Mytilus edulis: one gene and its partners. The protein of the gene in region 2 interacts with the protein of the main gene of each other region in a pairwise test. Links are inferred from orthologs where the notes say so. Each region holds a gene or a part of one and is shown on either strand. Other genes may lie near its edges. The genes, in order: RING finger protein nhl-1-like, general vesicular transport factor p115-like and paired box protein Pax-6-like.

The links.
Region 1: the proteins of general vesicular transport factor p115-like (region 2) and RING finger protein nhl-1-like interact in a two-hybrid assay, tested with the Caenorhabditis elegans proteins (2 studies listed by BioGRID). The link is inferred for Mytilus edulis from reciprocal best matches to the Caenorhabditis elegans genes uso-1 and nhl-1.
Region 3: the proteins of general vesicular transport factor p115-like (region 2) and paired box protein Pax-6-like interact in a two-hybrid assay, tested with the Caenorhabditis elegans proteins (2 studies listed by BioGRID). The link is inferred for Mytilus edulis from reciprocal best matches to the Caenorhabditis elegans genes uso-1 and vab-3.

Annotation. Positions count from the first base shown.
Region 1 is NC_092345.1:98,902,709-98,910,452, reverse strand, and holds the start of RING finger protein nhl-1-like, read right to left. Parts: upstream 3,049-7,744; 5' UTR 2,943-3,048; intron 1-2,942.
Region 2 is NC_092352.1:26,332,767-26,340,639, reverse strand, and holds the start of general vesicular transport factor p115-like, read right to left. Parts: upstream 3,100-7,873; 5' UTR 2,899-3,099; coding exon 2,833-2,898; intron 95-2,832; coding exon 8-94; intron 1-7.
Region 3 is NC_092350.1:1,506,125-1,513,792, reverse strand, and holds the start of paired box protein Pax-6-like, read left to right. Parts: upstream 1-4,635; 5' UTR 4,636-5,085; intron 5,086-7,668.

The DNA of each region.
Region 1 (7,744 bases), on a different chromosome or scaffold from region 2:
TAAAATGTCAAGATATCTAGGTTAAAATAAGTAGATGTGATTCGTTTTTGTGGAGATTAAATTTCATGATATCTAGGCCAAAATAAGTAGATGTGGTTCATTGTTGTGGAGATTAAATGTCATGATATCTAGGCCAAAATAAGTTGATGGTGTTCATTTTTGTGGAGCTAAATGTCATGATGTCTAGGCCAAAATAAGTTGATGATGTTTATTTTTGTTGAGATTAAATGTCAAGGTATCTAGGCCAAAATAAGTTGATGATGTTTATTTTTGTTGAGATTAAATGTCAAGGTATCTATGCCAAAATAAGTAGATGGTGCTCATTTTTGTAGAGATAAAAAAATGTCAAGATATCTAGGCCAAAATAAGTAGATGTTATTCATTTTGCAGAGATCAAAAGTCATGATATCTAGGCCAAAATAAATTGATGGTGTTCATTTTTGTAGAGATTAAATGTCAAGATATCTAGGCCAAAATAAGGAAATGTGGTCTATTTTTGTTGAAATAAAATGTCAAGATATCTAGGCCAAAATAATTAGATGTGCTTCATTTTTGTTGAGACTAAATGTCAAGATATCTAGGCCAAATTAAGTAGATGTGATTAATTCTTGTAGAAATTAAATGTCATGATATCTAGGCCAAAATAAGTAGATGGTGTTCATTTTGCAGAGATCAAAAGTCATGATATCTAGGCCAAAATAAATTGATGGTGTTCATTTTTGTAGAGATAAAAAAAATGTCAAGATATCTAGGCCAAAATAAGTAGATGTTATTCATTTTGCAGAGATCAAAAGTCATGATATCTAGGCCAAAATAAGTTGATGGTGTTCATTTTTGTAGAGATAAAAAAAATGTCAAGATATCTAGGCCAAAATAAGTAGATGTGATAAAGTTTTGTAGAGATTAAATGTCATGATATCTAGGCCAAAATAAGTAGATGGTGTTCATTTTTGTAGAGATTAAATGTCAAGATATCTAGGCCAAAATAAGAAGATGTGGTCTATTTTTGTTGAAATAAAATGTCAAGATATCTAGGTTAAAATAAGTAGATGTGATTCGTTTTTGTGGAGATTAAATGTCATGATATCTAGGCCAAAATAAGTTGATGGTGTTCATTTTTGTGGAGCTAAATGTCATGATGTCTAGGCCAAAATAAGTTGATGATGTTTATTTTTGTTGAGATTAAATGTCAAGGTATCTAGGCCAAAATAAGTAGATGGTGCTCATTTTTGTAGAGATAAAAAAATGTCAAGATATCTAGGCCAAAATAAGTAGATGTTATTCATTTTGCAGAGATCAAAAGTCATGATATCTAGGCCAAAATAAATTGATGGTGTTCATTTTTGTAGAGATAAAAAAAATGTCATGATATCTAGGCCAAAATAAGTTGATGATGTTTATTTTTGTTGAAATAAAATGTCAAGATATCTAGGCCAAAATAAGTAGATATGATTATTTTTGTTGAGATTAAATGTCAAGATATCTAGGCCAAAATAAGTAGATGTGGTTCATTGTTGTGGAGCTAAAGGTCATGATATCTAGGCCAAAATAAGTAGATGATGTTTATTTTTGTAGAGATTAAATGTCAAGATATCTAGGCCAAAATAAGAAGATGTGGTCTATTTTTGTTGAAATAAAATGTCAAGATACCTAGGCCAAAATAAGTAGATGGTGCTCATTTTTGTAGAGATAAAAAAATGTCAAGATATCTAGGCCAAAATAAGTAGATGTTATTCATTTTGCAGAGATCAAAAGTCATGATATCTAGGCCAAAATAAATTGATGGTGTTCATTTTTGTGGAGCTAAAGGTCATGATATCTAGGCCAAAATAAGTTGATGATGTTTATTTTTGTTGAGATTAAATGTCAAGATATCTAGGCCAAAATAAGTAGATGGTGTTCATTTTTGTTGAAATAAAATGTCAAGATACCTAAGTTAAAATAAGTAGATGTGATTCGTTTTTGTGGAGATAAAATGTCAAGATATCTAGGCCAAATTAAGTAGATGTGATTCATTTTTGTGGAGATTGAATGTCAAGATATCTAGGCCAAATTAAGTAGATGTGATTAATTCTTGTAGAAATTAAATGTCATGATATCTAGGGCAAAAATATAAGTTGATGTGGTTATTTTTTGTGGAGATTAAATGTTATAATATCTAGGTCATAATAAGTAAATGTGGTTCATTTTATGGAGATTTAATGTCAAGGTATCTAGGTCATAAAAGGTAGATTGATGTGGTTCATTTTTGTTGAGACTACAGTAAATGTCAAGATATCTAGGCCAAAATAAGTAGATATGATTATTTTTGTAGAGATTAAATGTCAAGATATCTAGGCCAAAATAAGTAGATATGATTATTTTTGTAGAGATTAAATGTCAAGATATCTAGGCCAAAATAAGTAGATGTGGTTAAATTTTATAGAGATGAACTGTCATGCAATTTAGGCTAGTAATAAGTAATTTGATGATAAAATGTTGACTTTCTTTTTAGATGATAAATAAATTAACCAATTTTGACGAAATACATGTAGTGTTATTTTTTTCTCTCAAAAACGACAGTCAGGATACACATATGAGACGTATGACAAATCATGTTAAGAATATTTTTCTTACAGCAAGGTAAAATTTTAAATTTTAACCAATTTGATGCTGAAAATGAACCTTTGATGCCTGACAGTATATAAAGAGCATTACTACAGGAGCTCATTAGGTATAGAAGCAATCAACCTCATAACATTAAAGGTATGCAGTTTGCATAGTTGGAAAGTGTGTGGGACAGTAGACTAATTAAAATATGCCATCTGGTTGATTGTGTTATTGAGTTGCTGTGATAGTATCCCTTCATCTTTCATTTTTATATACTATTTAGTAGATTTACTTTTTGAAATATGGAAACGTATACATCCATTTTCCACAAACACTTATGAAAACACATTTACCAGTATTTTACTATTTGTAAATGAACTGTCATCTTCCTCAGTGAACTGTTAAATGTCCTCACATAGCATGCCATATGGATCCTGTTTGTTTACATTGGTTGCAATCGGTACCGTAAATAAATTTTACGACTTTTGGAAGAAATTCTTTGATAAAATAAATAAATAAAAATGCTTTTATTTTTTTTTTGCATGTTTAAGAAATAATAAAAAAGTTAAATTTTTCTTGAAAATGTTAATTTTTAGTGTTGCAAAATTATTATTTTTTTTCTGAATCAATTGAACGCTTAATGATATATTATAAATTTCTGTTGTTTAAAGCGTCATAAATACACTGATTTACAAAGACGTGAGGTGCGAGGGTACAAACTTTCTTTGGTAAGCTGGCACACATTATTTTGTGCATGTAATATATGTGCAAATCAGCGTAAAATAGTAAAATTTACAAATATGCAAGAGCTATAGAACATACAAAGCCTTACCTTTATATAGAAACCAAAACGTTCACGTTGTCTACAGCCCTAACAACTGACATAACATTATCTGGAAATATGGCTTGTAAATTATCAGGCATTTGCATTTGCAGGTTGACAACCAGATTAATTAATGAGGGTGTACTGCAGAAAACAGAATATATACTGACGAGTGTAGTGAGTTGATAAATTTAATACAAAAAAATAAAATTCCTGACCGAAGTCGCCAAAGGGTGGCGTCTGAAATGGCCCTGGAATGCATTTTGAGTCGTTTTGGCCATACATCCAGTTCATCCACAGGTGGTCTTGGCCACAGTTTGTTCAGCCCTCCTTTTTCGTTTCGTTCATATGCAATAACTGGTTTGACAGAAGTTTGTTTTGAGAAAAAGTTGTACATGTAGGTATTCCTGTGTAGTGTGGGCACCATTTGTGCTCCTTGAAATAGCAGACTTATTCCTGTATTGTTATGAATCACATTTTATGGCCAAACTCAGTAAACACCTGACTAAAAACCATTTAATTGATATTCAACAACTCTTATACTGTTATCTTGATGATATTCAGGGCTCGGCATAGCGCTTGTCTGATTGTCTGTACCAGATGGAAAAAGGTAAAAGCCATATCAATCTTGTCCAGCAGGACAAGTAAATCATTCTGTAGAAAATAAATCTACTTCAAATTTGATTATCAAAGTACATTTAATAAACAAAAATCATGGAAAGAAGATAAAAACAAATATCAATTTGACATTTTTACTTTCGGCAAGTAAGTTTTGAAATCTACTTGTCCAATTGGGCAAGTTGAGAAAAACTTATTGCAGAGGCCTTATATTTTTTCATTAAATAATTAAGAATTCTACAGTTATGGATATATTTACTGCCGTAATTTACCAAAAGGAACTGCATATAAATAAATTTAAACAGCTATAACAGTGTATTATTTTCCTTTCCTTGATTTATAATTTTCAGTTTTAAATTTACATCAAAATCTTAACACTATAAGAAACATTGGTGATATTCCTTTGCGCCAAGCAGGCAACATACACGTTTATATGTCATAACAAGTTTTGCTGTACCTGTAGAACTCTATTCAAACAGAAGAGCGGTGGTGTAGCTTGCATTTATGCTAAGATGCTTAACCCTTTCACCGATTGCTGCCCAGACTGAAGCTACTCTGAGACGATGGCTTCCCTGGCTACTATAACTTAAGTGGGAGATCTTCATAATAAATGTCAATAAAAACTTGTTTGTAGTTATTTATGTATTTATTTCTTTCACTAACACTATGTTCACAGTTTTGTTCATGTTTTGATAATTTTTTCTTCATAAAATATTCAAATTTTCAAATTTTCGGCATTATTGAGGTGAAATTCTTAAAATTCTGCTCTTTGACCCCAAATCGTAATTTTTTAGCCCAAAACGGCAAAATTTTGAAAAATTTAACGACGCTGTACAAATTCCTCACACTGAACGATGTCCATTCCAAGTGTTTTGTACATAAAACGACATTTTATGTCAAAAAAGTATACTAGTTTGGCTTCAATTCTTCCATATTCTTTCAAAAAAAAATGTTCCCTCATTTCAAATTCTCGTAAATTCCGTAAATTTCCTCTGATTTTGACACGGTTTTCAACAAACGGAATCGCCATGTTTACACTTTCATCCGGGTATTCATCAAAGAAAGATAACTCATGTTTGCACTGTTTTGAGCGGGAAATATAAAAGAGGTATTCCGATCCCGGTAAAACGGGACTCATCGTCAGCTGTCTGAAGCGTGAATCCCGGTAAACCGGGACTCATCGGCGAAAGGGTTAAGCATTCAACTCATTTTGATCCCCCCAAAAAGTATATATAACTGCATGTGTTCGTAGCAGAAACACACAGAGTTATCCAAATGTAACACGGGTGATGATATAAGAATAGCATCTTATCATTTCCGAAGAAGTATGGGTGGTCTTTGACTTTCATTTAGGATCATATAGGTTTATATGTAAACAAGATGGATAAATCGCAGAAAAGTGTTTTTGACATTTTTTCGTTAAAAGTTTTATGTCATAGCGCGTCTACGGCAAGCGTAGAGGATGATGATACGCAGACATGTTTGATCTGAAACCTTTTTATTCACCGTGTATCATCAGTACACCGGATATAGGTACTAAGCAAGCGGGCATGATCAATTTTGACCTTACACGGTAACGAAAATCTTTGTTTTGCTTGATCAATATTCAATGTACATTTCTCAACATTTGAAATTCCTGCTCCCAAATAATTTTTGCATCGATTTTTTCCTATTCATAAAACAAATTTGATATTCTAATAAGAACAATTAACTTGTACAAGCGGAAATAGTTGTGAATGTCAACACCAACTTTCAATTTCGATACAGTTGTTGAGACATTTACATGTTTTATCTGAAAGAAACCTAATACAGGGCAAAAGTAACAGTCACCAATCATAAACCTACCTGTGATTACTCATTCCTTGAAACATTTTGGGTAATAAACGAGTATAAAAATAATGTTTTTGTGTACGGTGTACAACAACATAACTATGCACCGTACATTAGGATTTATGTGGTCAGCTAAACACCGTACACAACACTTTTTTAGGGATAAAATATCGAAAAATAACATATATATGAAAGATTTCAATGCCAATTATTGAAACAGCTATACTTATTACACACACACATTGACCTTCTATCAGAAAAAGAGTTGCAATGAATATAGAATTATATCGGATGAGATGAGGGCCAACTTCTTTGACAAGTATTTGCACATGCATTTACAATGTTTTAGTAATCCCTCTTGTTTTGGGAAAATAATGAGACAGATCTCTAACCATCAACCTACGACCAAATCATTTCTTAAAATAGCAATTATGTTTAGATTGAAGTACACATTGATATTATGTGAACAAAACAAAGATTTTCGTTACCGTGTAAGATCAAAATCACTCACGCCCGCTTGGTTAGTACCTATATCCGCTGTACGATGATACACGGTGTTATTTATATCTCATGAGAATTAAAAGCTTCAGAGCTATTGCAATGGGATTTCCATTATAATTATATTTCCTAGGGGCATAACTGGTTAAAAATTTAAGATCTGGACTTATTTTTTATACGACCGCAAAAATGAAAAATTTTCGTTGTATATTAGTATCACGTTGGCGTCGTCGTCGTCCAAATACTTTCAGTTTTCGCACTCCAACTTTAGTGAAAGTGAATAGAAATCGATGAAATTTTAACACAAGGTTTATGACCACAAAAGGAAGGTTGGGATTGATTTTGGGAGTTTTGGTCCCAACATTTTAGGAATTAGGGGCCAAAAAGGGCCCAAATAAGCATTTTCTTGGTTTTCGCACTATAACTTTAGTTCAAGTGAATAGAAATCTATGAAATTATGACAAAAGGTTTATGACCACAAAAGGAAGGTTGGGATTGATTTTGGGAGTTTTGGTTTTAACAGTTTAGGAATTAAGGGCCAAAAAAGGGCCCAAATAAGCATTATTCTTGGTTTTGGCACAATAACTTTAGTATAAGTAAATAGAAATCAATGACATTTAAAAACAAGGTTTATGACCACAAAAGGAAGGTTGGGATTGATTTTGGGAGTTGAGGTCACAACAGTTAAGGAATTAGGGGCCAAAAAGGGGTCGAAATAAGCATTATTTTTGGTTTTCGCACCATAACTTTAGTATAAGTAAATAGAAATCTATGAAATTTAAACACAAGGTTTATAACCATAAAAGGAAGGTTGGGTTTGATTTTGGGAGTTTTGGTCCCAACAGTTTAGGAATAAGGGGCCCAAAGGGTCCAAAATTGAACTTTGTTTGATTTCATCAAAAATTGAATAATTGGGGCAGAGCTTCCAAAACGGTCATATATTCCGGACATTTGGTTAATGTCCGATAAAAGTCCGGCTGGGCAAAGCATGAAACGGTCATATACATTTTAGTTTTCAAGGCTTTTTCGGTCATTTTAACATAAGTCACGATCTTTTTGACCCAACCTTTGGGGCCCCAAGCTTTTGCCTTTAACATCTACACATTTCCGGTCATAAAAGTGACATGATGATTAATTACTATCAAAACAACCCCTACTGCAATACTTTCTAATTTTAATCAAGGCTAATTAGTTGTTGGACAGGTGATATCTACCTGTTCAGTTGACAGGTAAACTATGTTCAGTACCGGACATCGTATAAATTGATTGGTCTATTCAAAATTATTTTCTTACATTTCAGCGGTTTGTAGCTCATTGATTTAGTCCAAAAGATTAAAATTATAAGAAATTAGTTTATCTACATGATTTGATAAAAAAATTTAAAAG
Region 2 (7,873 bases):
ATTGTACCTTAGACATTGCTTTAAGTGCTCGGACGGCATCTCGTCTATCATCCAGTAATGTTGAAGATTGAACTCTGTCCACTAATCTTTCAACCTAAAAACAATATATTTTTGATTCATTAGTAAGTGTATTTAGAAATATAGTTTTGTGTTTAAAGTGGGTACTAATGGCTTTGTACATTTGTAGTTTAAATCTATATATACAGGGGCGCATTGCATTTGCGCCAATTTTTTAAAAATCCAATCTTTCATTTGCGCCAAACATTAAATACTTCATTTGCGCCATTTTACAGGTAGTAAAGGAAACGAACATTCGTCGCTCTATCGTGAATTGATTAAGATTTGTTTTTACAGTATTACTGAGAGTCACTTAGGTTTGAATTTATATAGTGTTCACATTTTAGATGTGTCAAGATGGACATTGTCAATTCAGAGACAAACCAAGGAAATAAGTCTTATCATATACATGTATGATCTGAAAAATTAAGACAAGTCATTAAGGTGTCCCAAAAAACTTGCAAAGGTTGAATAACTTGTAAAGACAGAATACCAACTGACAACTAAACAATTATCAAAACTTTGAACGAACGCAACCATGGGGTACACCAGCAGAAAGTATAATATCAAAAACGCATTGAAAGGTTTATTTATGGTTTTATGATGACTGATTTCTGAGGAATATGTTTTGACTAACAAGAACTTTATCAACAGGGTTTTTGAAAGATTTTTTTTTTATCAATATCTGTATTAACCTGTATCATGCGTATTTACCTGAAATATTGGCGCAAATGAAAGTTCAATTTTTGGCGCAAATGAAAGATTATTTTGGCGCAAAAGCAAAGCACCGATATACAGCCTTCACAGACTAAGGATGCATTAGTACTTAAAATATTGTATAAGACACCTGTCTATTGATGAACTAGAGGCTCTAAAGAGCCTGTGTCGTTCACCTTGGTCTATGTGCATATTAAACAAAGGACACAGATGGATTCATGAAAAAATTGTGTTTTGGTGATGGTGATGTGTTTGTAGATCTTACTTTACTAAACATTCTTGCTGCTTACAATTATCTCTATCTATAATGAACTTGGCCCAGTAGTTTCAGTGGAAAATGTTAGTGAAAATATACAAATTATATGAAAATTGTTAAAAATTGACTATGAAGGGCAATAACTCCTTAGGAGGTCAATTGACCATTTTGGTCATGTTGACTTATTTTTAGGTCTTACTTTGCTGTACATTATTGCTGTTTACAGTTTATCTCTATCTATAATAATATTCAAGATAATAACCAAAAACAGCAAAATTTCCTTAGGGCAGACAGATCTATCCTCATAATTAATTTTACCCCATATCAGATTTGCTCTAAATGCTTTGGTTTTTGAGTTATAAGCCAAAAACTGCATTTTACCGACGACAAGTTTGCCTTTGATGATTTTTCCCTGCTTAGCTCAATTTTTTTTAATAGTGTTCAATGTTTCATCTCATTAATTCAACAAAGAAACTGATTGCGCAAAGATCTAAGTATTTGGGCAAGGCCTTCAAAAATTGCTCATAACAGACAAATGGGATTTTCATTGTCCATGAAATTACACTTACATTCCGACTTTCAATAGACGACCAATCAGTGACCTGAATTTACATGAACTATATTTAGTCACAGGTAAACACTGATTTGACATCCTTGTTTATCGCGACCGCGACTTTGATGCAATACATTTTAAAAAGATTTTTCTTTTTGAATTTAAATTTTTGTCTGTGAAGTAGCCAGTACTTGGAGTCACGGTAAATTGCTGATTTTTGGTCAGTCAAGAACTTGCTTTCAATTCGCCACCTGGGCTACCACAACTGAGTAAAAAGATCGCCCAGGTCAATTTCTGGTCGCCATTGGCGACTGGACGACCGTTAATTTTTTTCCCTGGGCAGACAATTTAAAATTCTATTAGAGCAAAGAAATCCTAAGAACTTAAGAAAAGAAGAAAGGATAACTTTTGTACCTATATATAGGTAATTAATCGGAATGTCTAAGGGACATAACTAAGCCATATTTTTTTTTACCTATACAAGTAAATAAAATTCACTTGTATAAGTATATTAATATTACTTCTATAAGTAAATAAAAATAACTTGTACAAGTAGTACCCCTGACTGAAAAATATGACGTCATAACAGAAAATAACGTCAAAATGGAAAAGTTATGATTGTTGTAATGACTGTCAGTGTCAGGAATATGTAAATTAAGGAAGAAAACGTTACATGCTATAATAATACACCTTATCGCTATTTGTCTGCCATTACTGAATATCACACGGGTTCCCGTAAAATTTTGACGTCACAAAACAAAATATCTGACGCTACAATGGAAAAGTGATTCAAGCGGCCGGGTCAGCCAGGATTAGCGATAAGGTGTATGTTATCGATCTGTTTTAAGCCCATGTATAAACATGACCCGTCACAAAGTTACACTACAATATAAGAAACAAGTGACATTCCAGCGTTGTGTTCACGCCATATTTAGCATCACAGATTTCCAAAATGAAATAGCGATAAGGGTAAGGTAAGGTGTATGGTACACTCCCCCCCTTTTTCCTCCCTGTGTCAGGGTTGAACCCGAAACCTTCAGTGCAAACTCTAACAGTCCTAACCACTAAGCCATACACTCACGTATATAATTGATACTTAAATATGATATAACAACATATTTTTTTCACAAAATTATTTAGGGGGTTGAGCCGGTAACAGCCGTTTGCAAACAGTTGAAGTACAGGGTGATAGCGTTATTAGACTTTTTCTAAATTTGCTTAAGATATATGTTATTCATTTTCTACTAACAGTATCTGCTCCTGTGGGTTGTACGCCACCCTGTGAAGGACCTAAATATTTTCGAAAATAATCCATTTTGTGATTCGTGGCTTCCGGAGTGTGCGCATGCGTATTAAAACGTGGCAATCTCGCAGTAAATAAATATAATAGTATGTTTTGTTTATAAAGGATTTAATAAACCACTGAACGAATGTTTGTATCGAAAGATACTCTAAAGTGTCTTTGAAATATCTGAAAAAGAATTAATTCGAACTGAATTATCTACTTTCACTTTCTACTATAGAGTGCTGATTTTACTGTTGACAAATTTAGAAATCAACACTATACAGAATAATGATGCATGAAAGATTTACATCCTGTTTTTGAAAGCCGGCTATAATATTTGTGTGACGGTATTATTGAGGTAATATATATATAATCAGTCTTACAGAGAAAGTATATCTGTCTATTAATGGCATTATAAATTTAGAGGCTGCATAGCCATAAAACTACTGAATTTCCAATTTTACTAATTGTGCTAGGGAGGTCAGCTAAATTATGAAGTATAGGGAAATTCATTGGTGCCAAAAATTTTGGAAATAGTCAACTGGTTTTAAAGTTCGGACCATTTTGATTTCCAAAATTGTCGTTTTTGTGAAACCTGTGACTTTTGTCGCAGAAAGCTAGACATGGATAGTGATCCGTCAGCGGCTACTACGGCATTAGCTTACTTCTCAAAAGCTTTATATTTTAGAAGGTGAAAGACCTAGATGCTTCATACTTTGTATATAGATGCCTCAGAATACGAAGTTTCTGTCTGTCACATGTCTATTGTCCTTGACCTCATTTTCATGATTCAGTGACTACTTGAAAAAATGTTTTTGTAATGTTAAGTTTTCTCTTATTATGAGTAATAGGATAACTATATTTGGTATGTATGTACCTTGCAAGGTTGTCAGTCCATACAGACAGTTTTCACTTGACCTCAAACCTCATTTCATGGATCAAGGTTAAGTTTTGGTGGTCAAGTCCATATCATATAGGTGTAGTATATTCAGTGTATCTGACCTTGACCTCATTTTCATGGTTCAGTGGTTATAGTTAAGTTTTTGTGTCTTGGTCTGTTTTTCTTGTACTGTGTCCTGTATGCAATAGATCTAATACATTTGGTGTATGGAATGATTATACATGTTAAGTGAACATGTCTAGCTGGCAGGTGTCATCTGACCTTCATGACCTTGAACTCATTTCCATGGTTCAGTTGTCAAAGTTCAGTTTTTGAGTTTTTTTATACTGTATGCTATACATAGGTCAACTATATTTGGTGTATTTCTTGTGGATCTGATATCAAGAAAATTCCTTTCATTCAGTAACAGTTGATAATAACTTTATTTTTCAGTATTTTTTAATGTTTTGAAAACTTATTACTTGATCACATTGTAAACTATGTTACTTTTCAGCACTAAACTTCCAAAGCTAGTGTTTAAATATTCTTCTTGTATTAAAATCTAGCAATTATACTCTCATTGTTCATCCCCATCTTTAGTTATCATTATTAATATAATAGTATATATCACTAGTAAGTTATTTCACTCTTAACCACAGTTATTCAGCATATCTCCATATATATATATATATAGCAAATAATAACCTATACAATTGGTAGTATGGAGAGTTGTCTTCAGCAGGACTGGTAGCAGCTTTAACATTCATACAGGCATCAGCAGCAGCAACATTACTCATTATTTACAGCTTAAAATATATAATGTATGTCTGATAGCATTTTCTTTCATTAGAAATACACAACAGGTGAGACATTTGTGTGTGTCCACTTTTATTTGCAAAGGCTCAAATATCATATTTTTGGCAATTTTTTAGACCAAATAATACTATTGGGTTAGGAACAGCAAGATATCTATCTGCTTTATTGCAAGAACACTCTGTTATGCTTTGATTTAAGCCACTCCAGTCCTAAGTAACATCAATATCTACAACATCTCAAACTTAAAAAAAAAAAATTCAAAGAAGCGATTGAAAATTTGGAAGGAATTAGTTTTTCATACAATTACTATTGGCAATATTTTTCTTTCAAAAACTGTGAAAAAAAATTAATAAGATTTTCAAATATGACTCTTAAAACTATTTGTTATTAAATTATGAATAGAAATGTTGGTCATATTTGGCAAAAATGTTGATAGACACTAGATGGATAAAACCAGAGAATCCAGAATATATAGAAGTAGATACATTTGAACCTAGTCATTTGAACTGTGACGCCTTGCTCAGTTAATTTACAATAGCAGGTTATTGTTTTATTGATCAGGTTAAAGGCAACTTTCCCATCATTGGCTTTAAGTTTCATGGTTTTGTGTTGCACAGACAACATGTAGATAATAGCCAATTAAACAATTATAGGTCAAAGTATGGCCTTCAAGACGGAGCCTTGGCACACACAGAACAGCAAGCTATAAAGGCCCCAAAAATGACTGGTACAAAACCATTCAAACCGTAAAACCATTCTATATAGAAACAAGAAACACTGACTAATGAACCACATCAACAAACGAAAACCACCGAACATCAGATTATGTTGTTCTATAATGATTTGTGGATATTGCAACATAAGGTGTTTATTTTCACTTACTTGTTCATTTTTTGAAACTGACAACAGTCAACAAATTTGAAATAAAATACTTGCTTTCAGAAATAAGCTGATTAATTTATCATGTTTATCATGTTTATGCTTATAAATTGTCTCGATTGATGGAAATTGCAAAAATAAAGTAAACATTTGAACTGTTGCACAGTGTAATCATGGTAATCAGAAGTGATTACACTAATTACCCTGAAATCAAGTGATCAACAGACTAAAGACCATCAATGGGGTTAATTTGGCCTTAGGAATGACACTCTAAGAAAACTGTGCATAAACAAATGCTATAGACATGTATAGAAGTACATGTACCTTGAATTGTAAAATTAATTCTGATCAAAAGCAAGCCCATGCAATATAATATTAAAATTTTCTGTATGAGAATTATGAGGATATAAATGATCATATTCATCATAGCATATATTCACTGGAAATCTGACTGTTATTGTTCAAAATATTTAAAAAAAAATTAAATTAAAAGATTAAAATTCGTTCAGTTTAGGTTTTTAAAGGGGAAGTCTAGCTACAAGATTTATTAAAAATCTAATATATTATTTTAAGCAGCCAGTATGGTTCAATTTTGTCAAAATAAGCTAAAAAACATTGATTATGGGTTATTCACTTGCAAGTGAATAATTCGACCTCATTGAATACGTATTCATGTGAACTTCAATATAACCCCTTTGCTTGAGATGGATAACACGTGAATTGTATGTGTAAAGTTCTTTAAAGAAGAAGAATGTCAACATATAAAGTGAAACAAAGGTAAATCATTTGATTGGATGATTCGATCCACAAAAAATCATTCTTATACAGGTAAAAACGATGATTGAAACATTTATTTTTCATTTTTATTATGAAATTAAATAGACCTAGAAAAATCCAAGTTTACTCAATCTATTTATATCTATATTTATGTTTAAATTGCTTATATGGTCATCGGATGACTTCAGAGGTCAACTCAATAGTTAATTAGGTGGTGTCTAGACCAAAATACACACAAAGCGAAGCTACATATTTTCATGCCTGTGCCCTGCTTATTGTTTATTTTACACTTTTAATAGTTTGGATAAATCTTTTACATTGTTATAAATCAAATATGATAATTTGATTAAGATCTGTGAACATGAATTTGACAGCTAGTGCCCCTTTAAAGCTTAAATGGGTACAATCCTGCATGCAGTTGTCGATCATAGTGCATTTGCTGATATTTGAAGTCTTCTTTAGATTATATGGCATGACTATATCTATGTTGTAAAACCTACATGTATGGGTATCTTTTCATGTCTTGATTTGGACAACAGTTGTGTTGCTATATTTCCTTGGACACTTGTTGATCCACGAAAACAATGAAAAAAAAGATTTATGCAAAAATAAAACAAATTGTTGGTGCTTGTTTAAAAGTTTATTTTCCATTGAGAGTTTGTTTAAGCCCAGGTACCATCCATATATTTAGTGTTTACAACTACCTTTATCTATTGTTAGACATCTGATCACTGTTTTATTGATGTACTGAATTTGATCAAAATTTAAACATTATGGTAATTAGTGTTATCTTCTTTAGGTCTTTAATAGACAGTAGGCCTTAGGGTTAATAACCTGCTTCAAAGAATTTTGTATACATGTTTGTATTTTATGGGTTAAATATATATGCAAAAAGAAGAAAGATTTCATCTTATCTCTTTTCTACCATAATCATTGTCAAGTACAGTGGAATTAGGAAGAAAAGACAGATATTTATTTTTTAAAAGGTAAATAAAGTACATGACATACTTGTGGAAAATCGTCGTCCGAAGACATTTGGTTTTCACCCTATAACTTTAGTAAAAGTAAATAGAAATCCATGAAATTTAAACACAAGGTTTATGACCATAAAAGGAAGGTTGGGATTTATTTTGGGAGTTTTGGTCCCAACAGTTTAGGAATAAGGGGCCAAAAAGGGCCCAAATAAGCATTTTTTTTGGTTTTCGCACCTTGGTGAATAACTTTAGTATTAGTAAACAGAAATCTATGAAATTTTAATAAAAGGTTTATGAATACAAAAGGAAGGTTGGGATTGATTTTGGGAGTTTTGGTCCCGACAGTTTAGGAATTAGGGCCAAAAAAGGGACCCAAATAAGCATTTTCTTGGTTTTTGCACTCTAACTTTAGTATAAGTAAATAGAAATCTATGAAATTTTAACACAAGGTTTATGACCACAAAAGGAAGGTTGGGATTGATTTTGATAGTTTTGGTCCCAACAGTTTAGGAATAAGGGTCCAAAATTAAACTTAGTTTGATTTTAACAAAAATTGAATGGTGAATCTTAACACTTAGATTTTTGATTATGGGCCCAGTTTTCAAGTTGGTCCAAACCGGGGTTCAAAATTAAACTTTGTTTAATTTCAACAAAAATTGAATATATGGGGTTCTGCAAT
Region 3 (7,668 bases), on a different chromosome or scaffold from region 2:
TTGCCTGCTTAATCTGTTAATTCTTTTTATTGTTCTTTGTGTAATGCTTTGTTTTCAGCAAGACAAATATTCTGTCCACTTATAGTGCTTTGTTTTCAGCAAGACAAATATTCTGTCCACTTATAGTGCTTTGTTTTCAGCAAGACAAATATTCTGTCCACTTATAATGCTTTGTTTTCAGCAAGACAAATATTCTGTCCACTTATAGTGCTTTGTTTTCAGCAAGACAAATATTCTGTCCACTTATAATGCTTTGTTTTCAGCAAGACAAATATTCTGTCCACTTATAGTGCTTTGTTTTCAGCAAGACAAATATTCTGTCCACTTATAGTGCTTTGTTTTCAGCAAGACAAATATTCTGTCCACTTATAGTGCTTTGTTTTCAGCAAGACAAATATTCTGTCTACTTATAGTGCTTTGTTTTCAGCAAGACAAATATTCTGTCCACTTATAATGCTTTGTTTTCAGCAAGACAAATATTCTGTCCACTTATAGTGCTTTGTTTTCAGCAAGACAAATATTCTGTCCACTTATAATGCTTTGTTTTCAGCAAGACAAATATTCTGTCCACTTATAGTGCTTTGTTTTCAGCAAGACAAATATTCTGTCCACTTATAGTGCTTTGTTTTCAGCAAGACAAATATTCTGTCCACTTATAGTGCTTTGTTTTCAGCAAGACAAATATTCTGTCCACTTATAGTGCTTTGTTTGCTTATTTGAGTTATTGAACTATTTTTTGTGCTTTTCTACTGTGCAAAACTTTTTACTCTTGCTTTGGTATTTATACCCCATTATTGCATGCTTATACATATGTGTTTAATCTGCTTGATAGAACTATTGTGTTTTATGTATGCATGCATACCATGAACCCTTGCTTCCTCTGTGTAATTGTGTGTGTACATGTGTTTGTATGTGTATGCTTTGTTGGATTGTGCTTTTGTTTTGTCTGTTTCAAAGCTCTATATGGCTTATGATTTTTATTATCTTGCATTTTCTTACTTTAAATAAAGCGTTATGTTTGATGTCTTACATGTAAGGAATGGTAAATATATTTTTTCACGAAATGTTTAACCCTATGTAATAGTAATTATTGAGTATGTAATATCATTTCCAAGTGCATTCTTTAATGGTTTTAAACCTGAGCAGTTATTATTCCGTGATTGTAACATTTATTGCTGGATGATGATAGTATGGAGTATCATGTAAAACCCTTTGACATAATATTAAACTAGTGGCGTATAGTTTATCCGGTACTTCAACATTGGAAATTACCGACTTCTTGGTTTTTCATTGGTAATTGTATTTTTATATAAACTGTTAACAGATTCAGCATAAAACTATATTTTATCTGACTTTACTTTAAGTTGAATTAAAAAAAAATATATAAGACTATTGTAAGGATAAAACCCAAAGAAATAAACATCCCTGCATCATCTGCAAAATATGATATATTCAAAATAAACATCCCTGCATCATCTATATATAAAGTCACACATCTGTAACACAATTACACATGTCACTGCTTTATCTCATATGCTCTTTTTCCATTCAGTTAATTTTCCTCTTATTTTATATCTGGAATAGGTTAATTATTTGGCTTTCAGAGAACGGTAAGAAGTTTGCAATTTGAAAAAGAATAAATTCACAAAAATACTGAAATGCAGGGATGTTTATTTTGAATATATCATATTTTGCATTAGTGGGATAAAGACCCTTCATTGGAACAAAAATTGATTAAATCATGAAATGTCAATTTCTCCTTTTTGCGTCTGAGTTGAATAATGGTGAATGTAGGAACCATAAAGGTCAATAGGGCATGAACAAATCTATTTCATTATGCCCCGCTGGTTCTAAATTTTCTTCCAGTTTCTTCTTTAACATTGTCGTTTAAACATTTTTTCATGTATAAAAGGATGTAATCAGAATTTGTTCTATTCTTTCCCAAAAAGGAAACTTTCGGCCAATATTTTAAAACATTTGATATAATTGGATGGCATACTCATGACCCCAAAGTATATAGTTTGTTCTAACAGCTCCCGAAACATGTAAAATATATACATCAGTTTACAAGCACCTGTTCTTTCTCTTCCGCATAATGAGTTAATTGAGAACTGAAAGAATTAAAATTGATAAGCAAAACAATCTTCTCAAAAACGAATAAAATAAGAGGAAAATTAACTGAATGGAAACAGAGCATATGAGATAAAGCAGTGACATGTGTAATTGTGTTACAGATGTGTGACTTTATATATAGATGATGCAGGGATGTATATAACACACACTTCTTAATATTGTACTTCACAACTTTTTTGTTCATTGGAATAATATTTTTAAAATAAAAATCGTCCAGGAATTAGTGACTTTGGAATAGGTTTATTTTTTTCATTTTCATAGAAAGGTAAGATTTTGGTGACTTTGGAATAGGTTTATTATTTGGCTTTCAGAGAACGGTAAGAAGTTTGCAATTTGAAAAAGAATAAATTCACAAAAATATTGAACTCCGAGGAATATTCAAAACGGAAAGTCCCTATTCAAAAGGCAGAATCAAAAAGCTCAAACACATTAAACCAATGGAAAAAAAACTTTCATATTCCTGACTTAAATGGTCCAGGCATTTTCTTATGTAGAAAATGGTGGCTCAAGCTTCGAATTGGTTTCTTTAAAGACATTTTGATACTGGTAATAAATGCTTATCTTATCGCATCAGTGTATGTAGCAATTGTTCCAAATATCTTGGAATTGAACAAATTTATTATAAAAACTGCCGTCCAATTTAAGTCTTCTGAATGCTTGAATATGAATAATGTTGAACTGTTTCTTTTTCTTCTTTTAATTTAATGTTGGTGTGTTCGTAATTATAAAATAGAAGATGTGTTATGATTGCCAAGGAAATAACTCTTCACAAGAGACCAAATGACACAGAAATTAACAGCAGCTATAGGTCACAATGAGCAAAGCCCATACTACATAGTCAGCTATATAATTCCCCAAAATTACAAATGTAAAACAATTCAAACGAGAAAACTAACGTCCAAGTAAATGCAAGTTTGCAGTAAAATTTCCAAACAGATAATATTCGTGTTTTCTTTAGAATTTTCCTGGTTGAATAGAAGAATATGCACGCTTTTGGTGTTAAAGAAAATAGAAAATGAAGTATATTTATATGTATAAAGTTCTCTAGATTAAAACCTTATGCTGAGGACACATAGGTATCCAAAAAACAATTCTTGTTCTATCTATAATGTATAATATTTAACGTTTAAAAATCAAGGCTAAATTAATTCATTCCATGTTTGTTTCCGATTCTTACTTTCCTCTGACAAACTTGACAATACAAAAAATATAAAAGTTTGATTGTAGAACACTTCATTTCGCTTTTCTATATTTAGAATTTTATTTCATGCTATTGTGCTTTTTAATGATTTAATTATTTTACCTCTAGTTTATTTATTTCTTTTTTATATTTATTTCCTTTGAGAGGTTACACATTCTATGTCTCATTTCTTTTGGGAAAACGGTATAATGACTAGATAAAAGAACAAAAATAAGTTTTTCAATACAGATATGTTAATTAATAAATCATTGTTAAACATTTCAGAACTTATGATGACTTATTAAGCGCGATAAATCGACGAAAATATAAAATGTTATTAATAGTTGAAGAAAATGTTGCGAGAGAATAAATTTTTAAAACAATATATCTATATGTTTGCACTTATTCTTTCTTTATATAAATTACAAGCTTCATATTATGATGTTTTCTATTTACTTTGTCTCACAAAAATATTTTTAAATGCACAAATTACAGCAATATCACACAAAATAATATATCATACAATTCACAAACGTTTTGGACGTGTGAACATATTCAAATAAATATATGCACAATTATCAAATTCAAATGAATTTTAAAACTAGATGATATTTGATGTATTGTTTATAAATATTAAAACATGTACGTCACTGCCAAATTTCCAATTTTAAAATACACATTATTTTGTGTTCATAATTCTTTTCTTTTATTTTATGTTTATCGGAAACTAAAATGAAATTGATGGAAAATTCGTACACATTAATAAATTAGTCTACGTGTTTCAAATTATTTTAATTAAAATAGAAGTTGATAAAAAGAAAAAAATATTAATCTTACAACGAAAACATGCAATTTAATAATAAATAACGATGAAACAAAAGAAAAATACGTCAATTAATAAAGACAACCATCAAAGACTTACAGGTATTTAATGACGAAATTAATTACATTCGATCAGAAAATTATTTAATCCAAAAATCAATTCATCAATTCCAAAAATAATCTTCGTTTTTTGTTTAAAATACATTTAAGAAGTTTAAAAGCAATGGATGTTTATGATTGGGCTACTACAAATTCGATTCTCTCATTATCACGTAGCAAGCCAATCTCAGCATCTTGTATTTTCTCACTAGACCGCCCAATTGGATATAATGTATTTTAATAATTCAATCCGATAGCAATATTATATTTTATAATTTCATCTTTTCATAAATCTTATTTTGATTTAAACACTTCTGATTGCTCAAGCTTAACATAGTTGTAGAAGTCGTAAAATGATTGGTTGAAATTATTCAAGCTCCACCTATTTTTCATGATTTAATAAATATGTGAATTCATGGCTAAAAAGAACTTCTCTACAGAGGTGGCAGTTTTAAATCAGGCGTTATAACGTACCAAAGTAGTGGAAAAAGCAATCGGCCCTGAAATATTCGTTAAAGAATGATTGCAGATTTATAACATTATATAGCAGTAACTTCGCATATACTGTTTCTTTTCGCTCGACAAAAGTAGGAATTTTAACCCAGACATTTTATAACATTTTAAAAGCATATGTAAGCAGTCGCCATTGACAATTACTAGTTATGTTTTGAAAACTAAATGCACGTGTGTTAACTGTCCAGAGGAATTTACCAAACAAGACGTTATCACTGAATCGTGAAAAATCTAATAAGTTATCTTCAGCGGAGGGACACAATTTGTAATTGATGCGTGAATGGGACAACCATTGTGGAAACTAGACAATTAACTACAAAATTTTTCAAAATTTTCAGGTAAGTCAATTGTAATAATTGTTTAAAATTTTGGAAAATAGCATCCTCCCCCTTTCTACTTGGTCATTTTTCATTTAACATTTAGATAACTCATTCTTTTTGTTTTCATCTCCTCTCTGCGTTTCAAAGTTATATCGTGCATATAAAGGATGCATAATTTTTAGTTATTTGTGGGACATTAGGAAATTATTTTTGACAATTATTTATGTTTTTTTTTACAAACATTCCATACTGACCGATGTTGTATTGTTTACGATGATACGACATATATTTTTCTTCTGACTGTGGTCTATGTAAGGAAAAACTAACAATTTAACCAACAGACTGACCAACAGTCCGGATTGAAGATGCTGATTTTGGAAATAGAGAGAAAAATAAAATAATAAACTTTCACGCAAGTTACATACCAACACGTGTATCTAAAACATTTCACATTTTGATTTGAGGTTTTGAAGGATTCTAAGATAAAAAAAATAAACAACAATTATACCATCGTAAACTGGATATTGTATGCAATAAATAATATATTTTACAGATTATATTTTAATCTATATATCCAATTCACCATAGAGTTATGTCACACTAATCTTTAAACAGTCGGTCAAAGATATTTCTCAACATTTTGTTGCATGTTCTCCTACTATTTAACGACAGTTTATGTATGTAATTCGTGAGTACCTAGTTCTTCCTACAGCGACTTAAGTTCTGGAATGGACATCCTTATGTAAACACAATATATAACAAATATAAAATGTAAACTTTATTTTCTGTATCTATTTCTATATTTATTATTTCCTCTCATTGTAGAGTTATGATTGCTGGAGTAATAGCTAGTTAGGTTTTACTTTATAAGTCACAATAATTTAACGGGCCTTCACGGCGCCCAGTGTACTCAATCTTAAATCCGTGTATTGAAAATGTATTAATAATATTTAACCCTTCAGACATTTTTGATAGTATAAAATGGATAAAAATTTTGCTTGTTTTTATTTTATTACATTGTGTGAAATTTACCAGGCATGAAATTGACAGTTGTCATTTTCAAAACACATGATGCTTTTTGAAGATAAACGGATTATCGGCCTGAAGGAAAATATTAAATCTTTATCTGTAATGTATTCGGAAATAACTGGATTAATCATAAGATAATCATATCCATATTTTAGAGAAATATTAACTGGGAGCAGTATTAGTATCCGACGGCTTAGCACACACAGTTTGTAGTTCTTAAATCATGTATCATAGTTAGGGAAACACAAATATGTATACAAATCACAAAAATATTCTATAATGAAATATCTCGATTTTGCTACAAAAATTATATAAATAGAACGCTTCTAAAAAAAAGACTTTATTGTTGAAAAAATAAAAAATCTTTTACTTTGTGAGGAACAATATTCTTTCCTTTATTATTTGCAGATTACAAAAAAAGATTTCTGTTTCAAGTATATTTTTTAACTCGCCTGTAAAATAATGATTATAAATTTATTTTATTTTTATATGTTGAAGCGAATAAAAATGGTAAAATAATTTTATATAAACATCTTTTTCTTAAAAAATATGAAATCAAATGATTTTCATTCATTTCTATAATTCGGTTAAATTTGCTTTTTTTACATTAATTTTTTTTTAAATTAAGTTAAACTAACAATAGCATTTATCTTTAGCTTCAATACTCTTCACAAACATTCAACACTTAAAAATCATTAACAAAACAATATGAAACTCCTCAGTTAAAATTTGAAGTAGAACGTAAAATAACATTTGAATTCGATAGTACCTGTTAAAGATTATCAAGAACACTTGTTCTAAAAATTCGTTTAATACACAATAAAATTACATTTCAAATGCTTATTATTATAATTTTATAAATCTTTTAAATGTTTGATTATATACATAACACCTCTTGAATTTAAAGCTTCTCTTATGTCATTCCTCAATTCGTTTATACATTCCCACTTCATCTAAATCTGAACAGATTAACTGACAAAAGTCTAGTTAATTATTAACTAAATTTAACTGGATTAATAGCTTTTCCTACAGTTAACCGCCAGGTAATATCGCCTTAGATTCTCTGCATTGATTTTAGAGTTAGTAATCCTTTAGTCTTAGAAAACACTATAACGTCCTTCTCCGTGGAATACAAGAATTAATGAATATTTTCTTTAAGATCTGTCTACTTTTCTTAAGTAATATTTAACTCTGTATTGATTGACTTAAATTTTAAAATGTAAAGCGATATCTTGAAGATGAAAACATTTATTTAAGGAATAATTCATTTTAAGTGCTAGCGTAGAACTAGTTATAATTAAGGTTTAAGTAGAAAGCTTTCGACATATTTCAGTTTTTGTATACAATTATTACTTTTTTGTACAGAATAAATATATGTATATAATTTATTTTTTAACATTTGTACATATATAACATCAGTGCTATATTTTTCCATCATCTCAGAAAATATTTTTTTATCTGAGTCACAAAGGCCATCTGCTGTTTTACAAGATGTCCATTTTTAGAAAGACACAAAATAATGGAAAAGTTTCTAATCTAAAACTTCCTAAATTAGATCAGATTTTTCTCTCT